Lonchura striata: one gene and its partner. The protein of the gene in region 2 purifies or fractionates together with the protein of the main gene of each other region. This does not show direct contact. Links are inferred from orthologs where the notes say so. Each region holds a gene or a part of one and is shown on either strand. Other genes may lie near its edges. The genes, in order: SNAP23 and VAMP3.

What was found.
Region 1: the proteins of VAMP3 (region 2) and SNAP23 purify together in Homo sapiens (affinity purification with western blotting; 6 studies listed by BioGRID and IntAct, with this or other methods). This does not show direct contact. The link is inferred for Lonchura striata from reciprocal best matches to the Homo sapiens genes VAMP3 and SNAP23.

Annotation. Positions count from the first base shown.
Region 1 is NC_134608.1:36,268,404-36,280,753, forward strand, and holds the start of SNAP23 (synaptosomal-associated protein 23), read right to left. Parts: upstream 5,940-12,350; 5' UTR 5,801-5,939; intron 5,424-5,800; exon of another isoform or gene 5,316-5,423; intron 1-5,315. UniProt on the Homo sapiens protein: Essential component of the high affinity receptor for the general membrane fusion machinery and an important regulator of transport vesicle docking and fusion.
Region 2 is NC_134626.1:4,504,486-4,516,476, reverse strand, and holds VAMP3 (vesicle-associated membrane protein 3), read right to left. Parts: upstream 4,819-11,991; 5' UTR 4,715-4,818; coding exon 4,713-4,714; intron 3,314-4,712; coding exon 3,232-3,313; intron 2,691-3,231; coding exon 2,532-2,690; intron 1,917-2,531; coding exon 1,865-1,916; intron 1,061-1,864; coding exon 1,041-1,060; 3' UTR 926-1,040; downstream 1-925. Other genes in the region: PER3 (period circadian protein homolog 3), read right to left, coding at 18-208; CAMTA1 (calmodulin-binding transcription activator 1), read right to left, coding at 9,964-10,027. UniProt on the Homo sapiens protein: SNARE involved in vesicular transport from the late endosomes to the trans-Golgi network.

The DNA of each region.
Region 1 (12,350 bases), on a different chromosome or scaffold from region 2:
AGCCAGCAAAAAGTTCTATAGAAATGCACAGCATTCCACTCACTTTTGCCCTAAATTAGTAGTATTTGGTATTGAAACTTATAAACTGACCCACCAATAAAGAAATACAGCTTCAAGATACAGAGGAAAAACCCTTCCAACACAGCAGGGAAAAAAGATTACTTCCAGGATTCTTCAAAGCTGAGTTATGCATGTGCTTATCTTCTGATGCTCATATTTGGACACCTGTAGTGCTTTGCCTCTTGAGATGAAACCATAATTTAAAGTGATGGCTCATAATTGTGGGGATAAATTACCTGTGTGAGTAAAACCATTCAGAACACTTAGTTAAGAGAAATATTCTGACAACCTTTCCTCAAAGATAAAGGGTTCAGCTATTTGCTGAATTTTTCTGATAATTTCCTGAGGTCTTATGTCACTGAAAAGTGACGGAACATTTTTTTCTTTTTTTCTCTAGATTTCCCAGCAAGTTTACCCACCTCCACTTTTCAGACATTGCCATAAGAGTATGTAAAGAAAGACATATTAAGATTTTCTTATTAAGGCAGGCATAAGAAAGCATGCTCTTCAAATTAGTGATTGTAATATCTGTTTTAAGTTGAATATCCAGGCCAAATGCATTAGACTCAAAAAAACCATAGTTTTATTCCTGCTAGTTTGCAGCACTGCTTTTATAAGCACAGACACAACCTACACAGTAGCTCTGCAGAGGCAATTAGTGCCATAAGGCAGAATAGGAAAACACATTTGCTAGGGAATAAAAACTTCCCACCACACAGCAGCTTAAAAACATTAAAAAAAAGCACACAACACTAATTTAAAACAAACAAAACATTTCCAAAATAGGCTGTTTCCGAAGATGTAAATACACACACAATAGCTGCAGGCCTAATTGGAATAGCTGAACATAGCAGGTACCGTTAATGAAAGATACCTCAAAAGAAATTTTAACAGTCCAGATGAGGCCATTTTTATTGAAATAACTCAGCTGTTCCAACAGAACACAGTATACATACATACCAAAAAGATACTTGTTCACCCATCTTTCTGCCTAAGAATCATAAAGATCCTACAAAGTAGATCCTTTGAGGTATCTAGCTTCAGTGTTAATGGTATATGACAAAATTACTTATAAGGCACTAAGATTACTCAATATAAGTCAAAATATACAGACAGAAAAACTTGATATGGCTATGATAACATTTGTTAGATAACATTTGTTAAGGCAAGCATTTATTTTAACACTGATGCTCAATGTCTATTTTCTTTGCCTTCCCTCTCCTACCATTTAAGAAATCCTAGCCACAAAACAGCCAAAGTAAAAAATAAAGAAGACAGCAGCCTACAAAGATATTTCATAATTATAACAATATTCTGCTATTTTTAATTTTCTTTCTAGAGGGGCAAGCTTTAAACAAGAATCTAATGCATCTTAAGACAAAGCAGTACTCCTTTAAGGAAGGCTGTGATGTCAGCTTTGTTTACTTTCTTTTATCAGTTTTCTGCAGTATTTGCTCAGTTCAACTCCCCTTCTGTCCCTTTCATAGGAAGGCCTGATACCTGCAGAGTATACAAAATTAAACTTGCTACAAAAATATACTTTCTTGAGGTAACTGGGCTCATTATACTTTTCTGCTAGAAAACAGATTACAACACATTCGTTACTTTAACTATCACTGCCTTATAAAAAGGAAGGCCATTGAGAAACCAGAGCAGCAAGGAAATAAACACAAATTTTTAATGCCATACTTTATTTGGGAGATTGTGCAAAATAGAAAGAGTTCTTTGAAACTCCAATTCCAACCTAAAGCTTTACATCTCTTCACAAGATTACTTATGTTGGGCTAAGCTATCCCACAAGTTCATCACTATAATACATAACTACGACATTGCTGCCCAAGCCAGTTGAGGATGGATTAAGCTTAAGTTACTTCTATCTCCTGGAAAAGAGGAAACAAACTTATGTCTGCACAGCCTTTTTTCCACTTACTATGCATTTAGTCATGGCTCCAAAAACCCTGAAAGCCTTTCAATTTACTCTCCTATGTGAAGCTGTTAGGTTGGAGAGGACTGAAAAGACAAAGCAAAGGTTATTGCAAAATAACGAGGGACGCAACAAGCACTTTTGGGGTAATTTTATAATGATCCATTCAAAGCATCACTGGCTTAGAGATCTTGATTTTGTTAATCAACACTCACAGAGCAGCTGAAGCATTTTAGTGGGTTCTTTGTCCAACTTGAAAAAGCTGGAAGGTGACAGACTGATGTGAGCTATGGCTAGGTCTCTATTAGCAGAAGGGTGATCCCGTGAGCCTACAGTGCAAATTTTGGCTTGGGAAAAGCATTGCTCACACTGCCACATTTGCAGTGGATCAGTCCCAAGCACTGAGTTCTGTCCCAACCCCAGCTACTGAACTGGGAGCTAACATCTGCCAAGGCAGATCTTTCATAGAGTGAGAGGAGCAAATTCAGTGTTAGGAACACCCATGGTGAGCTGACTGACTATGTCCCCAGGTTTAAATACCAGCTTGTGATCAGAAGGCTACTGAAGTATCACTTCATGCAACAGCAGTTCAGTGGCTGGCTGGTTTCCTGACAATAGGCATATTAAAAAGTTGGGGGGTAATAAAACATTTGAATGGAAAGGCCCTCGAGATTAAAGTATTGCTGTATGCAGCCAGCAACATTATAATCATCTCTGCCACCCACCTTCCCAAAGCACACTGTAAAAAATTAACATGAAACCTTTTTTTGTGGTCTCTCTCACTGGCCTAAAATACTCTACTGCACCACTAATGGTTTTTCTTGCAAGTGTTTTCATTTTCATTCAGAATTACTTGCCAACTATTTATACCAACACACTCAGTTTCCAATGCAAACAAAGTTCAAAAGCCATTACAACACTGACTTTGCACAGAATTTTCAAGTTTTCTTCAATACCAATAATCTTCTGGGACTTTTATATAAAAAGGCACATTTATATATATATAAGGCACTTCCATGGTAATGAAAGCTCTAGTAGGCAAGTTACATGACCTAAATATACTCTTCTTCAGCATTTAGCTGAGAAGCAATTCTAATGCTTATTTTCTCTAAGAAAAAAGAAAACTTAATTCCTTGCTTTATGACAGTCACAGCACATTAAGGCTGTGCTGTCCAAAGTACTCAAAACCCTTACTGATATTTATAAATTTAAGTTAACTGCAGGGTGCCACAAGGCCTGATAAAGTGCTTGTTCAACTCCAATTACACTATCCACATTTGGACAGGGAAAGGCTAACAAAAGTGACAAGTTTCCTAAAGCCAGACAGGTCTACTTGCACCAGATCAATATTGTTTTGATTGCTGGCACTTTCACAAACCCACCCTGAATAAGATTTTTGTTCTGCATCTCTGGCTAACAAGCAGTAGTTTTGTACCTCTGACAGGCTGAATACCTTTCAGAATTTTCAATGCAATTCAGAAATGGCTATATCAATTACATTTGCTACAGACTATAAATTACTTCCTTACCATCTGAAGGTCCTCTGTTTGCACCTATCCCTTTGCCTGTGAAGTTATGCTTTTAATCAATATCACAAACTTCCTCCTTCACTGATAACTTGTAAACTGGGGGAGAAGGAAACAGCCTATCCAGTGCATCTACAAGTAGGATTGAGAAATACAGTCTATGCCTTCTTACCACAAAGATAGGAACTAGCTGGTGGCACAACCCAGCTGTTGCAGCAACTGACTGGAAGCCACTATCTCATGAGCTGCATTTTTAGCTGTCAGTAAATTGGTGCAGCCTCAGGTGATTGTGGATGCTCTCAGTTCCTTCTCTTGTAAAGGGAGCTGTTGCCTTCCCCAAAAGATTGAAAAAATAATGAAACAATATTCTTAGATATGTAAATGTCAAGTATTAATTTCCTGTGCATGCTTACAAAGATCAAAATTAGATCGTTACAGAAAACTTAGTTTTTTAAAACCCTTCCTTAACACAAACAACCATCCCACTTGCTAGTTAGCTGAAATTCAGCCCAGCTAATGCAGGCACAAGGTATCGGCACCAGAATGTACTCCTCCAGATGATTATGGCTACAAGAAAAATGAATAAAGCATCTGTGGCCCTGGAGGAAGAGGCCAGGGCCCACGACCAAGACACTACTCGGCGTGCTTCCTGCTTTCCCTTATCAGCTTCCTGAACACACTGCACAAAGGCGATAGCACAAAGAATAGGCGCTACCAATGCCACCTCCTCTGTGCAGTTCAGTTCTACACTCACATCAACAACTCATTTTTGCCCCTGAAAAAGCCTCATGAAACCTCCTCCAGATCAGAATCTGGCCAATAGAAATTCACAGTCAAACTTGGATCCATTTAATGACAGCAAGAGATTCCATTTCTCCTAAAGACACAAACTACTATAGATTCCATTTCTCCTAAAGACACAAACTACTATATAATAACCTACTTCAAAAACTGCAGAGCAGAGGAGGGCAGGCACATAGACTAGCTACTAGACTGCCAGTAAGCAATTAAGTGCTCAATTAGATCAATCAAGCAAGCAATTGATAACAGAAGTGGCTTTTCCTTTGTCCCTAAACAGCTGTTCCCTCTACAGCACAGAATCATGTTTGTTTATGAAGAGGAAGTAAAACAGCACCCTTAGCTCTAAACACTGAGCATCCAGTACCCTTTCTAAGAGAACAAAAAAGAAAAGTTAGGCAAATAGAGAAGTTGCATAAAGAAATTTCCGAAGTTCCTTTAGGTTTACTTAGAGTGTCAAGTCATGTGCTGACTTCACATTAACTGAAACAGAAAGAGAAAAAAGGGAAAAAAAGCGAAAAATAAAGCTGACTCATTAGGAGCTTCCCAGAAGGACCAAGGGCATTGAGACGTACAAGTGAAAGAAGCACAAGAAGCACTTCGATTCTTATTGTTTACTACATTGACACTACAGCATTTTACAGATTAGTCTAAAGGCAGCAGACACAACACATAAGCTTAATAAGAAGCAACAAGAGGTGGGTTTTCTCCTGGACGCTACTAACAGCGCAATTCACGGGCTCTCGCCAAGCAATCAAAAACCACCTGGACACGGCACTGCCGCCCCCGGTATGGGCGAGCCCACGAGGCCTCCCCGCACACAGCTGAGGCGGGGGCTCGGAGGGCCCGGGCCCGGATCCCGGCCGCCCCATTACCCAGCACAGCCGACATAGGACGGCAACCGCACCGGGCCAGGCCCGCCTCGCCCCACAGCGGCCCCCGGCAGCCGCAGGGCGCCAGGCGGCGCGGAGGAGGACGGGACCGGAACGGACAGCCTGACACCTTACCTGGGGCGCCGCAAGCTGCCACAGCCCAACCCGTCACACACCCACCGCCGCTCCCTCGCGCCGGGCCGGGCCGCCCCCTTAAGCTCGCATGTCCCGCCCGTCCCCGCCGCCCCCGGAAGCGGCGCCCGCCCCGCCCCGCCCCGCTCACCGCCGCTCCCAGTGCGGCGGAGGAACGCGCCGCCCGCAGCGCCCTCACACGGCGGCGGGCGGGAACGGCGGCCTGCCCACCCGGCATGGCGGCGCGCGGGGCTGCCCTGCCTGCTGCCCTGCCCCTCGGGTGTCAGTGCCGGCTGGGCAGTGCCCGCGGTCCGCCCGTGCCGACCGCAGCTGCGGCAGCAAACAGTGCAGTCAAGAAGCGGCCTTATTTGTATCGGTGGGGTTTTTCTCCAGTTACTATTCTCTACTAGGACGATGAGTGTCAGTCCCCTTCTGTCACCAGTGGAGAGGAGGGCAGAAAGGGAAAGCTGCTGTTCGCAATCACCGACCTCATCCTTTTCAGCTGAACCGCGCAGCCTTTCCTGAGGTATATTCCTTCTCAGGTGTGGATAAGTTCTTCTCAGAGGTTGGTGTCACATCCCGCACCTGCTGTAGGACTGTAAGCACTGTAAACGCAGCCGGTAGTTTTCACAGCATCAGCTTACGTGGCTCCTAAAGTCCCCTCTTCCAGTGAAACTGCTGCTGAGCTCTCAGAACTCGGTCTTGGTTTCCCTTGTCTCTCTCAGCATCTGGGGGGAGTTTGGCCTCGTGAAAGGTCCCAGTGGAGTAAGGCTTACCGCACACTGCACAGCCCGCGCCCTTCCCCTCCTGCCTTAAGAACTGTCCCTGGAGCACATTTCCCAGGGGCAGCCGCCCTGCCCAGCGTGATGTCCACAGCGTCTCGCTGCTGAGATACCCGCCGTCTGCAGCGTCTGATTTGTAGAGCGGTAACACGTAGCACTAAGCGTGTTTAAAGCGCTGTATTTACACACAACAACAATAACCTCTATTACCATTATCTGCTGGTGAATGCCCCCAGCCGGCCGGTGCTGGTGCCCCCGCCATTAAGTTGGTTCGCCTGTCGGCTGTCCACGGCGGTCGGGACTGCATTTCCCGGCAGGCCCCGCGGGCACGCAGGCGTGCCGCCCAGCGTGCAGCGCGGCCCCTTCCCGCCGGCCCATTGGTGGCCGCGCCGTGCCCCGCCGAACCGCGCGGTGCTGCGGGCCGGGCCCGGTGCGCGCCGTGCCGGCACCGCTCCCGGGCGGCGGTGGCCGGGCCTCCTCGGCCCCACGGGGGAATGGGCTGCCGGGCTGCTGCCCTGCAGAGGGGTGGGATCCGTGAGTACCGGGGCTGTGCGGGGCAGAGGGCTTGGGGAGAGCGGTGGTGGCCGGGGGCGATGGGGGTTGCTGCGGCTCCGGCGGAGTGGGCGGCCTGTGGAGGGCGGCAGGGCGAGCCCGGCCGAGAGGGGCTGCGGCAGCGGCATCTCGCCTTGGGGCGGGCATGCGCTGTGCTTTGCCTCGTGAGCATCCCCTACTGCTGTTGTGATCCTGGACTTTGATGCCCTGCTGTAGAACAGGGGCGTTAGGGCGGAGGCGTCTCTGTGCCAGGTGTGTAGCTGCCCTAATGCCTCTTCATACTTGCCAGAAGTGTTTCCGGGGATGAAGTGTGACTGAATATAGGTTGTTTAGCTGCCTTCCTCATAAGCAAATATCTAAAAATGTGTTGTAGTGAAATCATGTATCAGTTTAGTGATAAATATCTGGTAACTTTAAAGGAATGGGACTGACAGCGTGAAACAAGTCATAATAGTATGATGAAATATGGGGTGTTTAAAAGTAATCCTTCATCATTGCACACAGGGTGGTTCAAATCCAAACGTACATAAAGAACTGCTTGGGTGTGCATATGGATGTCAGTTTGTAAAAGTTTATGAAATATTGGATACAAGTGACATAAATTATTGAAGTTCATTCTTCAGTATACTTCATTGATGGTTAAAGTTCATGCTTCAGTATAGATGGAGGTTTGGTAATAATCTTCTCATGCAGGTAAAAACCTTCTTTCTCACCTTCCCTTCTACACCTGATGAACTTTAAAGAACAGATAGGTTCTGAGGTGGTGTGTCCTAAGAGAGAATAGAATTGAGAATTTATGGACTTTGTTTTCAACATGAATTTCCAGGCTTACATGTCCTACATCTCTGTTGCTTATTGCTGTTCTTCAGTTATTTGCTACTTCTTTCAGTTAAACCTTAATTACTGCATTTAACAAATTGGCTGTTTTGCTGAACTGACAAATCCTGGCCTAAAAAAAACCCCAAATACTTAAGCCTTCCAAAAATTTATTAATAGCTTTGCTGAAGTTTAGAAGCTTATTCCCATTAGCATTGCAGTATTTGGGATTACTACTGCAAGTTCTAAGGGCCAATGCAATGTGTCTCTGTAACTTTTTACCTTGGAAAATAGATTTCTATCCTGAAGTAGCTCCTGTTAAAAACAACTGAATTGTGTTTTGTTTTTTTTTAAAGTCCTTGCTCGATTTCAGCTGAACTGGCAGTAAAAGGCAGCTGCACTTGCACTACTTGATGTGTTCCACTAATGACTGATTTTTGTATGTAAAGTTAGCTAAATAGGTGCTATACTCTGGCATTTTCAGTTTGGAGAAAGACATTGGTTTTACCCAAATTTTGTTCGCATGTTACCTAAGTCTGTTTGGTCACTGTGACCAGACTTCAGGCAGCTTCTATTCCCTATGTTCAAAAATATCACATATGTGAAGAGATGTCAGCTAAAGACATTTTAATTCCTGCAGAACTGTCAATCCAGTACAGAGTAACAGCAGTCCTCTAAATGCATACCTAAATTGTATACAGAGATACAACTTGTAGTATCTAGGTAAATCTATCAATTTTCTTTCCATCTTATCTTGAAAAAACTAATAAGATATCCAGAATAAAATGTAAATTTGTTCAGGATCAAATTTAAAATGTTGAAGTTTTTTTTTAGCATGTGGTAATCCTCCTCTGTGAACTCTGCCACCAGATGGTGTCATAAGATTTGAGGTGTTATCTGGCTCAAGTTGAGTCTAGCAAAGTAAAAGGATACTATACCTTACAAGTAACTTCTTTGTTTTTATAAAGCTATGTTTTATATTTGTAATGTAAGGTTTTTGAGTTTCTTTCATCAAGTCCCAGAATATTTTACATTTTGATCTTATTGTGGTAGAGCTGCTGGTGTTCAGCCCTGAGATAAACTACATTACAGAGATATACTAATTTAGGCAGAGCCCTGTATTTCTATTACCTGGTCATTAATGACTACTATCTTAGTATTTGAAATCCTTAACTTGAGTTTTCTTGGCATGAAAGCTGTTTATACTGAAAAGTGACTTGAGTACCTTGGTTTGAATGTTTCAAATCACCCTCCAGTGATTCTTCATACTCTGTAATGACAATATAAATAGAAGAAGCCAAATTACTTACTGAATGCTCTCCCTGCTTGTTCTCTTGTGTCTATACAGATCTTTTGTGGGGAGTCTGAGTTATTTTGACAAGGCCAGGTATCTGTTACTGTGGAACTGCAATAGATAGGATACATAGAGTAATCTGTTTTGATGTGGCTTTTGATCCTTGTTTTTAACTTATTAGTGAAAGAGACATTGTATGAATACCTAGGAAGGATATGATGAGCTTAAATAGCCTAGGAAAGGGGAAAAATTATACAACTTAATGTTACAGAAGTAAGTGTAAAATTAAGTGTTGGGTATTTCTGTCATTCTTACAAGGTCTGTAAAGTGAAGACCCTTTATAAAGTGACTCAAGGTTACCAGAATAAGTTGATGAGAATTCTTTTGTAAGTCACAGTAGTATTTAAATTATTAGATTTAAATGTTTAAATCTAAAATTTAATTGGGTTGTTTTTTGCCACATCTTGTGGATCACTATGTTGCTTCTTAGTAAGAGTTTGTCTCAGGCATTATGAATTGTGTTTGAGGCTGTAGTAGTAGTAGGGATACACAGACAACTCCCTTCTCCTAAGGGTGCACATAGGGATGTTAGCTGAAGTGCTACATCTGTTTTTGAACAATCCTTTTAAGTGCTTTGGGCAGTTTGGAAAGGGGAATAGCTATTTTAATAAGCTCAGGAAATGTGATGTTTGAGGAGAACATCTGGAGAAAACAAAACTTTCATATGCCTTAAACCAAATAGGGAGTATGGGAGAAGACAGAAGCTTTCCAGGTGTGTGGATTTTACATGTTCTAAGTGACAGCATACAGCAATAATGCTGTACAGTTCTTCATTCCAGTTTGGACAGAATAGATTCCTGAATCTTCTGGTGTGTGAGAAGCTCTCATGAGAAAGATAGAAGGCATTTAGTTTTACTAGAGAGAAATTATCATCTTGATTTACAGCAAGGAAAACTTACTTTGTATATTAAGAAATTATTAGCATTCCTTATGTATAGGAGTTGGAAAGATGCAGTTTGGTTGTGGCTTAAAGTGTATATCTGGTCTGTGCTCTGTTCTGAGACTTACGTGAAATAAAAATAGAAGTCAGTGAAAACTCTGTTCCTGCCAGGTGTTCTGTGCCTCTGCTGGTCTGTTTAAGATATTTCTCTGTGGTGCCCTTATCTCCAGTAGACTTTCCCTGTATGTTGTAAAAATCCCAGCCATACTTATGAGATAGCACTCATTTTCTGCTAGATGTTTTCTAAGCCAGGTAGTGAAGTAAATGTTATTGCTTTTAACAGGAGCTTAAAGAACTTTGATCTGTGAAATAACTCTTTTTTTCCTGGCTTGATGTCAAAACAGTTGAGCACTTGTCTGCCCAATTAAACATTTGCTGTGTAGTGGTGCTGCTTCAGTGCTCAGGGGTCTAGACTACCCTTAGATTGTCACATGGATAAAATTAAATCTTGGAAAGCAGGGAGAAATTTACCTTTAAAGCTTTGTACTCTGGTACAAGTATTTTAACTTCTGGAGTGTGATACAGTTTTCTCCTTTGCCCTGTAAAAATAAGAAACCAACTACAAAGTAGTTTGTACAGTGCCTGACAGTGTGCTGGGGGAGAATCATGTTGTTAGTCATGACTTAACTTTAGTAAATCCTTAAGTTTTCGTTTTTTGCCTGGGTTTAGGTTGCACAGATCAACATCTCAGAAGGAAAGTTAGTGCCTCACACATGTGCTCAGAAGGAGGGTTAAGGTAATTAGTAGACGTTATGGTCTGGCGGGGATGTGTAGTAAATTCAGATGCTTGAAGGGCAACAAATCTTGGAAGGGAAGATAATCTCTGAATGATGGTGCTTTATTCCATGTAAATTCTGCAGGAGGTGATGAAATTGGAACATAGGGCTCTGTACTATTACTGTTACTATTCTACAGTTCAGCTGATGTGCGTGCAATTGGTTGCTGCAGGAGAGAAGTCACTGAGGCACTAGGAGTGACATCTCTGCAAGGAGCTGAGCATGTTGCTGCAGAAAATTCTGCACAGTGATTTTGTAGCCTCCTGTTCTTCTCAAGTGTTGAGTTTCCACTGTTCTCTGTAGGGGCATGCAGCATTTAGGCAGGCTTTTGGACAGGCCAGTGCTGCTGATCTCTTTGAAGCCTTCTGAGGATTTCTAGGCAGCTGGAATGCCAGGCTGCATACCCCACTCCATGGCACTCGTGGCTTTATATAGTCGGAATGTTCAGCCACTCATCTGTAGCAGATTTAATCTTGACGTACATTTTTAATGTATGTTATCCGCTAAGGTTGAATAACTATGGACAAATGGATGTTGTAGCAGGAAGTAGTCTAATGTCTAATTTTTGTAAACTATTTTTATTTGTGGGAAGGGTTCTCCAAAATCTCTGTAGCAGTCTTTCTTAATTTAATTCAAGCTCTGTGGTGTTCCTAAGCTCTGTACAGGTGCAGACTATGGGCAAGTTGTGTTTACATCCCCTAGTTGTAAAATGCATCCCTTCCCTTTAAAACAAACAAATAAAAAATGACCCATTGATGTTACATTCTCTCAAAATAGAAAGTTGTTGTAATATTTAATTTGTTGCAAAGGCTTTACATTCTGCTCTTAACGTGTTCTTTTTATATGATGGTGGGGTCTTTTTGGCAAAACCTTATCTTTGTTTTCAGTTTGCTCATTTTTTAGACTAGCTCATCTTTCCTACTCAAGTCCCATAAAAAGTAATTTTCTATGTTATACAGCAAGTTGATGATTTCAAAAGCACAAGATGTTAAAGCTGGTAAAAGCTTGAAGGTTGTTTAAGGTTAAAGTATGTGGAGTTTTTTTAAGAATTCAAATGTGCCTGCATTTATCTCAAAAGCTCTGTTTCTGAAGTTTCTTCATGAATGGAAGTTTTGAGATTGAGCAGACCAGTATATGATGAGATGAATAGTAGTGACTACATGGCTCAAAAGGTGTCTGATTCTTGCTGATTTTGCATAGTGTCTGAGGAAATACCTTTGATTTATCATGTTATTCAAAATACTTCATAGAAGTGCTTTTACAGTAAAATTGAAGTACTTAATTAAAGTGATCCACAAGTGTTCATAGGTTTAGCAGCATTTGGGAGAAAGCTAAGGATGATGGGAAGTGCTTTATATCTATGTAAGCCAGTAAGTCAAGAGGTGATCTGGAAATAGAATGTGTGTCTGTGTTCTCCCAGTCCCTGTAACATCTACTGAATCTCTTTATTTCTGAGTCCAAGCCACTGAGGGCTTCTCTCTGTAGTTTCCCTTTTCATAGTGACATCCAATAGCATTTGAATTCTATTAGTATTTTTAGTACTCTGTCATAAGCAATGCCGAACTGATTGGGCAGTTTGCCGAAAACTCTTCCTGTAATCGTGTATAGTTACTATATGTTTTAATTAGCCAAAACAGGTGTAATGCTAGCTCTGCTGGTGGAAGTTTTTTAATGTTCCATGCTAACTAGCCTGCTTTTCCTGATTTAAGTCCCATGCTGCTTTCAGCCCAGTGCAGAACGAATTCTGTAAATACTTGGGTAATCTTGAATGAGATCTTGAGCACATGTAGGGTGTTGCTCCGCTGAACTACAAAGTAG
Region 2 (11,991 bases):
GCGCTCCGCCCCGGTACCTGTTGGCTTTTTCGGCGGCCGGGCCGCCGCCGGACTCGGGGCGGTGCAGCTCGGTCCCGCTCCCCGCGCACGCCGCGCACCGAGCGCCCGCAGCCCCCCCGGGCGCCGCCGCCTCCCGCCCGCCGCCGGCCCAGGCGGCCGCGGCCGCGCCTCGCTCCGCGCTGCCGCCTCGCCGCTCGCTCGCGTCCATCGCGGGTCCGCTGAGCGCCACAGCGCGGGGGGCATCGGCTGCCGCGGCCGCTCGGCACGGCCGGACCCTCGGCCTGCGCTGCGGGGAGAGCACGCGCCGCCTCACGGGACGGTGGGAGGAGCGCTGCCCCCGCCCCGCTCCGCGCTTCCACAGCCGCGCGGTCACCGGGGCCGGTTCTGCGCTCCCGCGCCGCTCCCCCCCTCCCGCAGCTCGCAGCCGTCCGGCGCGGCGGCCTCCGCTCGGCCCTCCCGCCCCTGCGAGGCCGCGCCTCTCCCTCCCGCCGACCCCGGGCAGCCCCCGCGGCGGGCCGGGAGCGCCCTGAGGGGCCGCGCCCCCGCCGCGCGCCGTTACGTAACGGCGGCGCACGCGGCGGCGCCGCTCCCACACACCCGCGCCGCGTGCGCCGCGCCCCGCGGACACAGCAGGAGGCGGAGGCGGGGTCGGAGCCGCTTTTTATTGGAGGAGCCCGCGCGCGGGGGGCGGGGCCCGCGCGGGCGGGGGCGGAGCCCCGCCCCTCACGCGGCGCCGCACGCGGCCCCCGTGCGCGCGCATGCCCCGCCGCCACGTGCGGCGCCGGCCCCGCCCCGGGGCGTGGCCAAGGGGGCGGGGCCCGGCCCGGCCGCTGAGGCGAGGCGCGGGCCGGAGCTGCTGGTTAGTGATTAATGACGGGAGTGTCTTAAGGCCGCCAGTGAGGTTAGTAAACGTCGCGATCATCAAAAGAGTTTCGCTTTAAATAGCAGTAAACGGGCTGAGGAGGCAGCAGGCTTGAAGTGGAGAGGTTGAAGGAGATTCTCAAAGGCACCTTCGGTTGAATGGAGCTTCTTCTTGTAATTCATGAATATGCACTCCAGACTACAAAAAGAAAAAAAGAAAAGTTGGGCAATGTCCTTCATCCCCTCATCATAACAATCCTGCATTTTAAGAATTTAAGATAATAGAGATTAACCCTTAAATCTAAGAATTTGCCCATGTTGGTTTTCTCAGTTGATTAACCCTTAAATCTAAGAATTTGCCCATGTTGGTTTTCTCAGTTGTATTTTTCCCTTGTGTTCGCACATGGGACTATGTATCTGCTGTCAATGGTTACTGCTGTGCTTGTTACTGTTACAGCACAAACTTAAAAACTTTGTCTCCCCTTTAAACCCTCAGCAATTCCATGAGGACTCAAAGACTGAACCATTCCACACCTGGCTCTCTATCCTAACCCAATTTTAACCTCATTTCACTCAGCAGCCAAACCTCTGATCAAACCTCCCTGTTACGGCAGCGCACTCATAACTGCCACAAGAAAGCAGGAAGTCAAGGCAGATGATAACAGTTCTCAGACAAGGACAGTGTGTGGAAACTCATGTTACACTTCTGCAGCAGGCAGCTGTAAAATAAACCCAAGTCTGTTCCTGGTTTCCAAGTCCTTGCTATTTTCACTTTCACCTTTGTCACCCTCACTTGTGGTTGAGATTCCAGTACTGGAGCTCCCACGTTATCACAGTCTGCCACGCACTGCATGCAATTGTTGTTAAATCCATCACTGCTATTTCAGATTCACGTTGGATATACTCCAGCTGAGTATCCTGCCTTTGCTTAAACTGTACCAGTCAACAAATTAACACCATCCATTCCAAATCTAGGAGAAACCCCCATTTTGGTCAAACTTACTAATAATGATGACGATGATAATGACAACAACACCTATCAATATCGCCCACATCTGTGAAAAAAAGACATACAACACTTACTACACAGCATGCAACAGCACCAAAAGCCCCTCAGGGTACAGGAAAACAGCCCCTGCAAGGGACTTTTAGCACTGGTTGTCAGATCTAATGTAGCAAGCAAAGGTTCTTCAGTCAGCAAGCTTAATCCACTACTAGCACTCAGAGGTGGCAGGCCATGCACACAGGCAAAAAGAGCAATATGACTTTCTCCACATAAAGCCTGTCCCAAGTGAATGCACAAGCTGTTCTGTTACTCACCAAAGATGAATCCAACCTTTGGCAACAGCTACAAGTACAGGAGTCTGAGTGAGCTTCTTCCACTTTCTAATACTTCCCACACATTAATTCAAGCTATGCATTTTTAGCTTTTTCTTCTTGTTTCTCAAAGCCTCAGATTACTGACATGCTTCCCTCTGGCCATTATCAGACAAGATCCTGCCTAGGGCAGCACGGCCGGTAACACAGCTGCTTGTTACTTTAAAAAGTAATGCCATGCTTTAAAAACTAGATGCTGTGACTTAAAAAACATTGGCTAAACATTTCCTGCCTTTTGAAACACAGATGTGACAGCGTTACAGGCGCAGAGTGAGCACACAAGCCGAGGTTACCTTGCAGTTCTTCCACCAATACTTCCTCTTCAGCTTGGCAGCGCTGGTCTCGAACTGGGAAGCCCCTGCTTGCAGGGCATCAGCACGGTCATCCAGCTCTGACAGCTTCTGATCCCGCTCCAAAACCTTGTCCACGTTCACTCTCATGATGTCAACAACCTACAGCAGTTCAACACTTACAGTAAGTGGTGTGCAACATAATCACAGACAGCAAGCAGCTGCACGAGGTACTCCGTGCTTTCTCAGAAGCAGGAGCTATTGCCTTTTAGTATATTCAGCCATAAACTTCAAGAAAACTATGAAATCCACTTATGGCTAAAAGCCCTGAATGCCTGTTTTAAAAAGTCAGTAGTGCTGGCATGCCCTCAGACCTGGGAAACAATTCCTGACTTGCTTCAGAAGGAGTTGAGGAATATAAACATGATAGTAAACCATGTCAAGAAATACTTGCCAGCCTGGCTTTTGGACTCCACAAGAATCACATTTGGTAGCCAGCTCTCATGGCTATAAACAAAGGTTTTTGTCATTACTTATGCCAAATCTTGCACCAAGACTGCAGCTGATGTTTGGACACTGGGAACTTCTGTTTGCTTCCCCTTCATATAATGAAGGGAAAACTGCTCTGGAAAAAAATATCCCTTCTAACTGCACAGGTTTCCTGCAGGAAGAGGCTGACACTACTAGCAGACCAGACTTTTACCTCGTCTACTTGGTGCTGGGTTTGCTGAAGCCGGCGATTGCTGCCAGCAGCCATATTTGAGCTTCCAGGGACATTGGCCGACCTGTGGTAAAGAAAGGCACCATTAGACATCTGACAGTCCTGAAAATGGGACACTGGTATCCATGTAATAAATACAGGGCACTTTCTTACTGCAGAAATGGTGTTTTAACAGCTGTCAGTGAGCACAACTCATGCAGTGTCCCAAACATCTTGTGAACAAATTGCATGCTGTCCCAAGAGGCAGCAGTGGCTTGCTAACACCACACATTGCAATGAGGCAGGGGTCAGCTCCAGCAATGCTCCATAGGCCTCAGTGAGCAATTTGGACTCAGGGTGTTCTTTCTTTCCCATATGAACACAGGTACTAAGTTTCAAGCAATAGTAGTTTACAAAAAATAAAATACAAAAACTTAATACTTATTATAGCTATGTGATTTTCCAGTGACACTTCTGTATTCTTTTGAAATGGTTGATATGGAACAAGAGAATGCACCAGAAGGAAAAAGTATTTGGAAAACACAAAAATTTACTTTTGGCCAGCTTTAAATTCGTAACAGAGTTCTTTTTACCAGCTACAACACTCTGCATCTTTATAACGGATGCAAGAGCTTCTGTACATACTCTTCATTACCTTTTCACCACCTGGCCAGGTTTTAATGCACATCTCTAGAACTATCAGCACTCAATTTCCTTTTCCATGTTCTTAGCTCTTTCACATCAGATGTGAAAGCTTGTTTAGTGCACCCTGGCACTCCAAGCAGCCAAGTCTGTTTCCTGTGTATACACATTTAGACATTGGCCTCTAACTGCACGTAACGAGTGCAGGCACAGCGCGGGAGCCGGGGCAAGGCTCGGAGCCGGCACAGTGTCACTGTTTTGGCACCGGAGCCGGGGCAAGGCTCGGAGCCGGCACAGGGTCACTGTTTTGGCACCGGAGCCGGGGCAAGGCTCGGAGCCGGCACAGTGTCACTGTTTTGGCACCGGAGCCGGAGCAAGGCTCGGTGCCGGCACAGTGTCACTGTTTTGGCGCTGGAGCCGGGGCAAGGCTCGGTGCCGGCACAGTGTCACTGTTTTGGCGCTGCCACCACCCTTTGGTGCCGCTTCAGTGCCAGGTGAACAGCCTCGGAAATGACAGCGCTTCCTGCGAGGCTGCAAACAGAGCAACGCCCCGGTGCCGGGCAGGGCGGGCCCCGCTCCGAGCCGCGCCCGGGGCTGGCGGGGCAGCCCGGCCGGTGCCCCGCTCCCGGCCCGAGCAGCGGCTCCGGCGGGCGGCCCCGGGCTCGGCCGGGCCGGGCCTCGCCTCCGCCGCCGGCCCCGCCGCGCACCCCTCCCGGCACCCCGCCCGCGGGCCGGACCGGGCTGGGCCCTGCTCCCGCCGCCGCTGCGCCCGCCCCGCTGCCCGCGTCCCCCGCTCCCCGGATCGCCCCGCTGCCCGCGTCCCCCGCTCGCCCCGCACTCACATCCTGGCGGTGGGACGAGGACGGGGCGGCGGCAGCGCCCGGGCGGGTCCAGCGGGAGCTGCGCGCGGCGCCCGCGCTGACGAGTCACGGGGCGGGCTCGGGGCGATGGGCGGGACCCGGGCCGGGCTCGGGGCGGGCGCGACGGGCTCGGGCCCGGGCGGGATAGGAACGGGGGCGATGTGCGACGGCCGGGACCGGGACAGGACCGGGACGGGGGCGATGTGCGACGGCCGGGACCGGGGCGGCGATGGACCGGGGCCGGGGCGGGACCGGGGCGGGGGCGATGGGCGAGAGCGGAGCGGGGCGCGGGGCGGAGTCGGACCGGGGCCGGGCCATGGCCCTGCCCCCGCGGGCTGCAGGGGCGGGGCTGCGGCCGCTGCCGGGCGCTGGGCCGGCACCGCCCGCCCCGGGCGGGCACGGGAACGGCAACGGCAACAACGGAACGGGGAGAGCGGCCGGGCACGGACACACGGACAGACACAGACACACGGACAGACAGACATGGGCACACAGACGCACACACTGACAGGGGCACGGACACGCGGGGAGGGACGCACGGACAGACAGACACAGCCAAGAGCGTTCCGTGCCGTTGTCACTCGTGTCCGAGCGCTCCGTGCAGCGCACGAGGGGAGCCGGGGGTGTGTTTGTCTTTGTCCATGTCCTTATCTTTGTCCTTGTCCCCCGCCCTGGCTGCAGGGCCGCCCCGCGCTCGCCGCCCGGTCCCGGCGGGGCTGGAGCCGCCGCTCCCGGCAGCCGCACGGAGCTGTCGGTGCCCCGAGCAGGGCCGGTCACGGTCACACGCCGGGGGTCGGTGCTGCCGGCAGCGCTCCCGCAGGAGCCCCGGGGCTGCTCCGCCAGCGAACACCGAACTCCGCAGGGCACCGGTGGGAGGGAGGCGCTGGCTGCCTTTGCACCACGTATTCTGAGTTATCTTTTATTTTTCCCCTCCTTATCAAACTTTATCTCATCCCGGGCATTTCTTTTTCCCTCATGTTTGGTCTTCAGTTCTCTCCCGCGATGCCCCTGGGGATGAAGGAGGAGGCGCCTTCTTTCAGGACTGGGTCAACCCGCCACGATAGGAAAGAACCCAGCAACTAACAGCTATGTAAGATGGAAAAATGGGAGCGATTTGGAGAGTTAAATGCTGATTTATTCTAAAAGAGAAACGTAATCAAACTTTCTCTGCAGTCAAGAAGAAACTCTTATTGAAATCTTCAGTTGTGGAGCTGGGTTTTGGAAAAGCTTACTCATGATGGTACTAACACAGTCTCTGACAGACCAGATAATTAATTTATTAAACCTGCTTTCAGGTTTTGCCTGCTGGGCTTGCCATTAGTCTGGTACAAGTTTTGTTCCCGAGGACCAGTTCATGTGAGCGGAGCAACATACTTATTAGCGCAACAGTTATTGTGTCTCAGTTAATTGTATCATTAAATGTGACCTCTCAGGTTTCTGCATCAGCAGCCCTCTTGAATTCTGCTGTTTCACTCTGCTTTGTGTACACTGTAGGATTTATTTTGCTACCAGCTCTATATGGTTTCTCACAAAAAACCTTGGAAGTGACTGCCCACTGCAGAGGAACTGCAAACAAAGTTCTGGGGGCTGCACCTGCTCATGGGCAGGCTGTGGACTGTTACATCATAACCTGTAAGAAATCAGATGCAATATTCTTACAAGCAGGTCGTGTAGAGCAGAAACTTTTTTTTGTGTGTGGTTCCTTAAGAGTGACTAAAGGACTACTTTGTTCTCAAAGAAGGATGGAAGAGGTGTTCAGAAGAAGAGACGTGTTCAGAAGAAGGCACACACTTTGTATGGGGAAATTTTCTTTTTTAATTTACAGCAGAAAGAATATAAAGCATTCAGAAAACATTTTCCATATTTTAAGGGCAATTCAAAACATTTTGCATGGTTCCAGCAGCTGAGTTCTTCAACAGATCCATTGATTCAGTGATGCTTTACATGCACAGTTACAAAAATAAAACTTACAAAAGAGAAGACATCTATACTAGTTTTACATGCAAGTCTTGGGGACCCCCCATTGGGCACCAGCTATTGTGTGGAACTGCCATAAGCGTGCAACCAGAGAGGGGGTTCATGTTATATTCTGTATTTCTTTCACACAGTATTACTGCTGTCGAATGTGTTTCACAAAGGAGCGATTCTATTATCAGAAGACAGAAAATCTGGCTCCTGGCACTTGGGAATTTGAATTTTCCTAGAAAGCTGCACTTACTTATCTTAGGTGAAAATGTTAAGTTCCACAACCAAGAAGAGGGTTCGAAGAATCACTTCACTGCGGGGGAGAGCTGCTCCCTCCCCAGTGACACACTGAAGGGTTACGGCCCGACACAACAAAGCACTTGGGAGCTGAACTGGCTCCAAGCACGCCAGGAGTCCTGGAGCTGTGCTGCAGAACTGCCTGCATGCTTCACAGCCAGCACAGGCTTAAACGTTTGGCTGAAGCAGGATCTAGATTAGTAGATACACCACCAGGCCCATGGATCTGGAAGAGTAATTTGAAATAGCTCTGTATATTACTGAATCGTTTTCTGTAAAGACGAGGAGTTAAAACATTTCCACTGAGGTCACTACTCTTGTTTGGAACAGATCAATTCTATATTGTCACGTATTGGTTAATGGGTGCAGTATTTCAGTTTCAAAATGTCAAGAGTTCTTCCAGTACTAATACAGAGCATTTCCAATTCATTCCAAAGGAGATTCTCCAGCGTCTCCTGTTCTGTTTTGGTGTGAGAAGAAAATTTAATGGTTAATGTTCCAATTGCAGACAGTAAATTGAGGCCACGAGGCTGCCCACAGGCACAGTGTGAGCGCCAGGCCATTTGTTTTGCTTTTTTCCCTTTTTTTAAAATTGAATCAGGTCATAAAGCAGCAGTTCAGAAATGTACAAGAGAATTCTGATAATGAGCTATAGCACATCTACTGTAATTCAATGCTGGCAGTGAAAAGAAGTAATTAAAAACAGGTACAATTATAGAAAAGGCACCAAGAGCACTGACCCCAGTTTTTTTGCCACAATCTTTGTTTTTACTCTTCTTTTAAAGACACCAGTTTCAAAGCTTCCTATGTGTGAATATTTTTTGGCTTCACAACAAGCCTTGCGTTTAAACATTGCAGTTGGTGGCCGGGATCAAGCAAGAACAACTATTCCAAAACTAACAATCTCAAATTTACACAAGTTCATTCAGAAATTTTAAACTGCCACGAGTGAGACAAACAGACAGGAGCAGTTTCTGATCTCAGACACATGTACGTGACCCACAAGTAATGACACGGACTTCAGGAGTTTCTTCCCTTACATTCCTGTGTAATGAAGATCAGAACTGGTTCCCATTGTTGAGAATTTGTGACAGTTTTAAATTAGTAGCTCAATTTAAAAAAAATCTAATTTCTTTGGCTCCTCACTATGTGGAAATAGCAATATACCATGACACCCCTACAGGATCAGTTTGCATCTTTTTTTTTTTTTAAGTTTTACTTAATTTTTTAAAATTTTTTGTGCAATTTTTATTACATTTTCTGACTTCCAGCAGGAGATATGAAAATGTGAAACATATTTTCTACTTTCGTACTATTTATTTATTTTTTTTCATTTTATGTTCATTCTAAGTGTTCTTTATTGGAGTGAGTGTATGGTGTTAAGCTAGATACGGTTTTTGTACTCTTATGATTATCTGCTTTGCAAAAGTAACTTAATTTTCTTAAGCAATATTAGCATTCACATTACTTGGCACCATTGGCAAAAAAAAAAAAAGGAAAAAAAAAAGACGGGGGTAAAAAAAAAGAAGGAAGGAATACATAAATTAAACCCAACTGAACCAAACTCCTGGTAGCCAAAATCAAATGTAAACATATCCTTTTTTTCTTTTTTTTTTTTTTTAAAGTAATGTTGCTCTGCCTTTTTTTTCCTAAGTCTAAATACAGTAGCTCTTTTTTGCCATTTAGTCATGCTTTAGCAAAAATGTTCTTCTAAAGAACATTTAAAATAAAGTTTCTTATAGTGAAATAAAGTTTTTGTTTCATTTTACAGACCATAGCCACTAATGCTTTGCTTTGTTCATTTCTTTTTCTTGAGTTCATGCACATATCTCTTTAATATATACAATATGTACAAACAATACATCCACACTCTTCTCGTTCATTCAGACAAAACTATACAAATAATAATTTTATCTTGCCAAGTTATTGACCCTTTGTGAATAAAATATTTAGTAATTAATCAATATATTCCCTTTCAAATATTTTTTTCTCATTTTCCATTTCTACCTTCTATATATACAGAAACTGCCCAGATTTTGATGAAGTAGCCAAAATAAGAAATTTACTGGCCAGAATGCAGCACCACTGATCTTTAGGTGGCATAAAATGTCCAGGCAACATATGTACGTGACTCTGCAAAATGACAAGAGGTTTGACAAGTACATAAGAGAAAAAGCTACATGTTTTACAAATTATTTGAGAACTTAATTAAAACAATAGTACATGAAGGTAAGGCTAGAAAATAAAGTGCTGAATATGAGAGGAAGTACATGACAGTTGATATGTTTGCAGGTTCTAGTAAAAATACAAAAAAAAAAGTGTAAAATTTGCTTAAGCTGCTCTCTCCATTCCTCATGCAATACCCGTGTCTCTCGTACACCAAACCCCTCCTGTAAGTTCCCACGGGATGTATTAAAAACCTGCAGATTTAAAAAGTTGCATTAAGTGTGCTGTAGAGGTTTAAATAAAACACAAAGGACAGGAGTGCGAAGGAAATGAGGATGCATGGACCCAATAAAGATGTACTGATCTAAGCCCCTCCACTGAGACTCTCAAAGCTTCAGTTTCTTGGAGATGACTGACAGGTGCAGGAACAGCATTCTTGTGTTGCTTGTGCATTCCCACCTTTTCTGAACAATATTTTTGGTATAATATTTGTACAGTTCCACATGTTGTTTAATACAGCCCTATATGAAAAGGATAATTAATCGCTTCTTCCTTCCTCCTCGGAGAATGAAGCAACTCACAATTTCCTCCTGGTGTCTTGTTTTCCCCACGATCCAACAGAAGATTGAGTTCCAAGATGTCTTGCTGAACAAATTAAAAGTTGTCCATGAAAGTGCAAATGCAATGACCAAAACATTACTGTTAAAATCCTGCAGCTGGTATTTCCAGAACTGCAGTGGGTATTTTTGTTGTTGTTGCATGTCTCTGCTAAAAACAGAAAATGAAAACAGTCTGAAAAGCAATGTCACATTGCTACGGGATGCTGCTGCGTATCTTCAAGTTCCTTGGCCTTTTTCAATTCTTTCACTCTGAAAAAACAAAGAGGAGCTATGTAACACTTCTACTGCAAATCTCTCAAAGACAGAATAATCAAAAGGATTCATCACTCCAACCTCCCGTGCAGAAGAGGCGGCTCCCAGAGACACGACAGGAAAGCAACACCTTCCCAACACCATAAACAGTTGGAAGCGCAGAAAGGGCCTCTGGAGATCCCAAACACCTTTGGAGAGACACACTTGGGTCCAGCTACTGCTTTTCCAACTAGCTGGGCTTCATTGTGATGCCAGCCTGACTCCTTGGGGCTCCCTGGACTGCTGCTCCCTGCCTGACCTGCAGCTGCTCACGGCAAAGGGGCTGCTCAGAGCTGACCCTTTTCTCCACACAGTGCTGAGGCAGCGACAGCACAGTGGGGGAAAATCTCTCTGTCCAGCTTGGAAAGGAAGCCTGGTGTTTACAGAGAACCTCACGTAAGGAAGTGTTTATGTACAAGCACAAGAACAGGTGTGGGTGTGAAGGAAGGTGCTTTGTTTCACAAGTGCTCCAGCTGCTGTGCCCTGTGTTTCATCATGCTGCTGGCAAAATGTTTGTGTGTTGTCCCAGCAGTGCAGGATGCTGTGTGCCAAGGGAGATGGACCTACAGTGTGGAAGTCACTCTTCCTAGATGTGGCCAGTTCTCAACTTTCCCAAATGCATGCCATCCATTACCTCCTCTAACTCATCAACACAAGAACTAAACCATCACTGAAAGCTGAAAAAGTTAAAAAATAAATTAAAGGGTGAAAAGAAGGGAATAATTTAATCCCATCAAGTGAAAAGGAGCTCTGCACTGGAGCTGGGGCAGCAGGAAACCTTCTGCTCAGGCTGAGAAGCTGGCTGTATGCAGTGCAAAGGAGCCAGACCAAATCCAAAGGCATTCCCGTGCTGTCCCAAAGGTGCCCAGCTGTGCCTGGGGCTGGCTCTGCCTCCACTAACAGGGAGTTCCTCTGCAGTGAGATCCCTTTGCATCCTCCACATGTCTCCACTCTGCTCCTGCAAGGGGAAGTCCCCCGCAAAAGGAGTAGATTACAGCAAAAAAAAAGTGATTTAGCTAAGCCTGTTAGGCTCGAGTGCTCATGTGATGCTGCAAAAATTTGAAAGGACAAGTAACAAAGGTATAATACAAAAAATAGCATCAGAGTTGCAAGACTGTGTAATGCAACCAGCTGCAAGTGAAAGAATGTAACAAAGTCCAAGTAAATAAAAGTAAGAAAACATGTCAGGACAGCTGAGCAGCAGCAGTGACAGTTTGTAACTACTGTGCATAGACTTACACCCACACATCTTTTGGCTCTTGCACCAGCCTGCTAATATAAGGACAGAATGAAGGCTATAAATTGATCTCTATAAATACACCTCCATTTCACTGTTTTATTTATTAATTTTTCTGCATGTACTATTAGTCAGAACCACAGTGAAAAGGGAGCTGGCTGCTTTTACCTCTGTTTTACCTGACTCAAAGGCTCTAGCACTCAAATGCATTCTCAGTATTTGTGAAATGTGGCCAGCAGGGGTCAAATCAGACTAAATCAGACTAACCTGTATGCAGGTTAGACCTTTGTTAATTATCCTAATTCCACTGTTGGAGAATATCATGTATGGAAAGACAGAGGGCTCTGCCAGGCCAAGTGCACACGGTGTGTTCAGAGGCTGAAGGTCACTGCTGGAGAGACCCTGACATTCCTGAAATCCAAGCCCAGAGCAGCCCAGCAGGCTCTCCCAGGTGCCAAGCAGTGCTCTGGTCCCCAGGCTGAGGAAGGGACAGCCAACAGCACCAGGGGTTCTCAGCTCCTGCTTGGACAGAGCTCTGCTGAGCCTGCCTGCTACAGCTTTACAGAGAAATCTTCTTCAGGGAGATTTTGGCTTTTCTTCAGGAAGATTTTGGCAGTGCACAGGGGGATTTTTAGCTGGTGTCCAAAAGAGCCAGCTGACATCAAGAGGCTCCAGCACTGCAGAG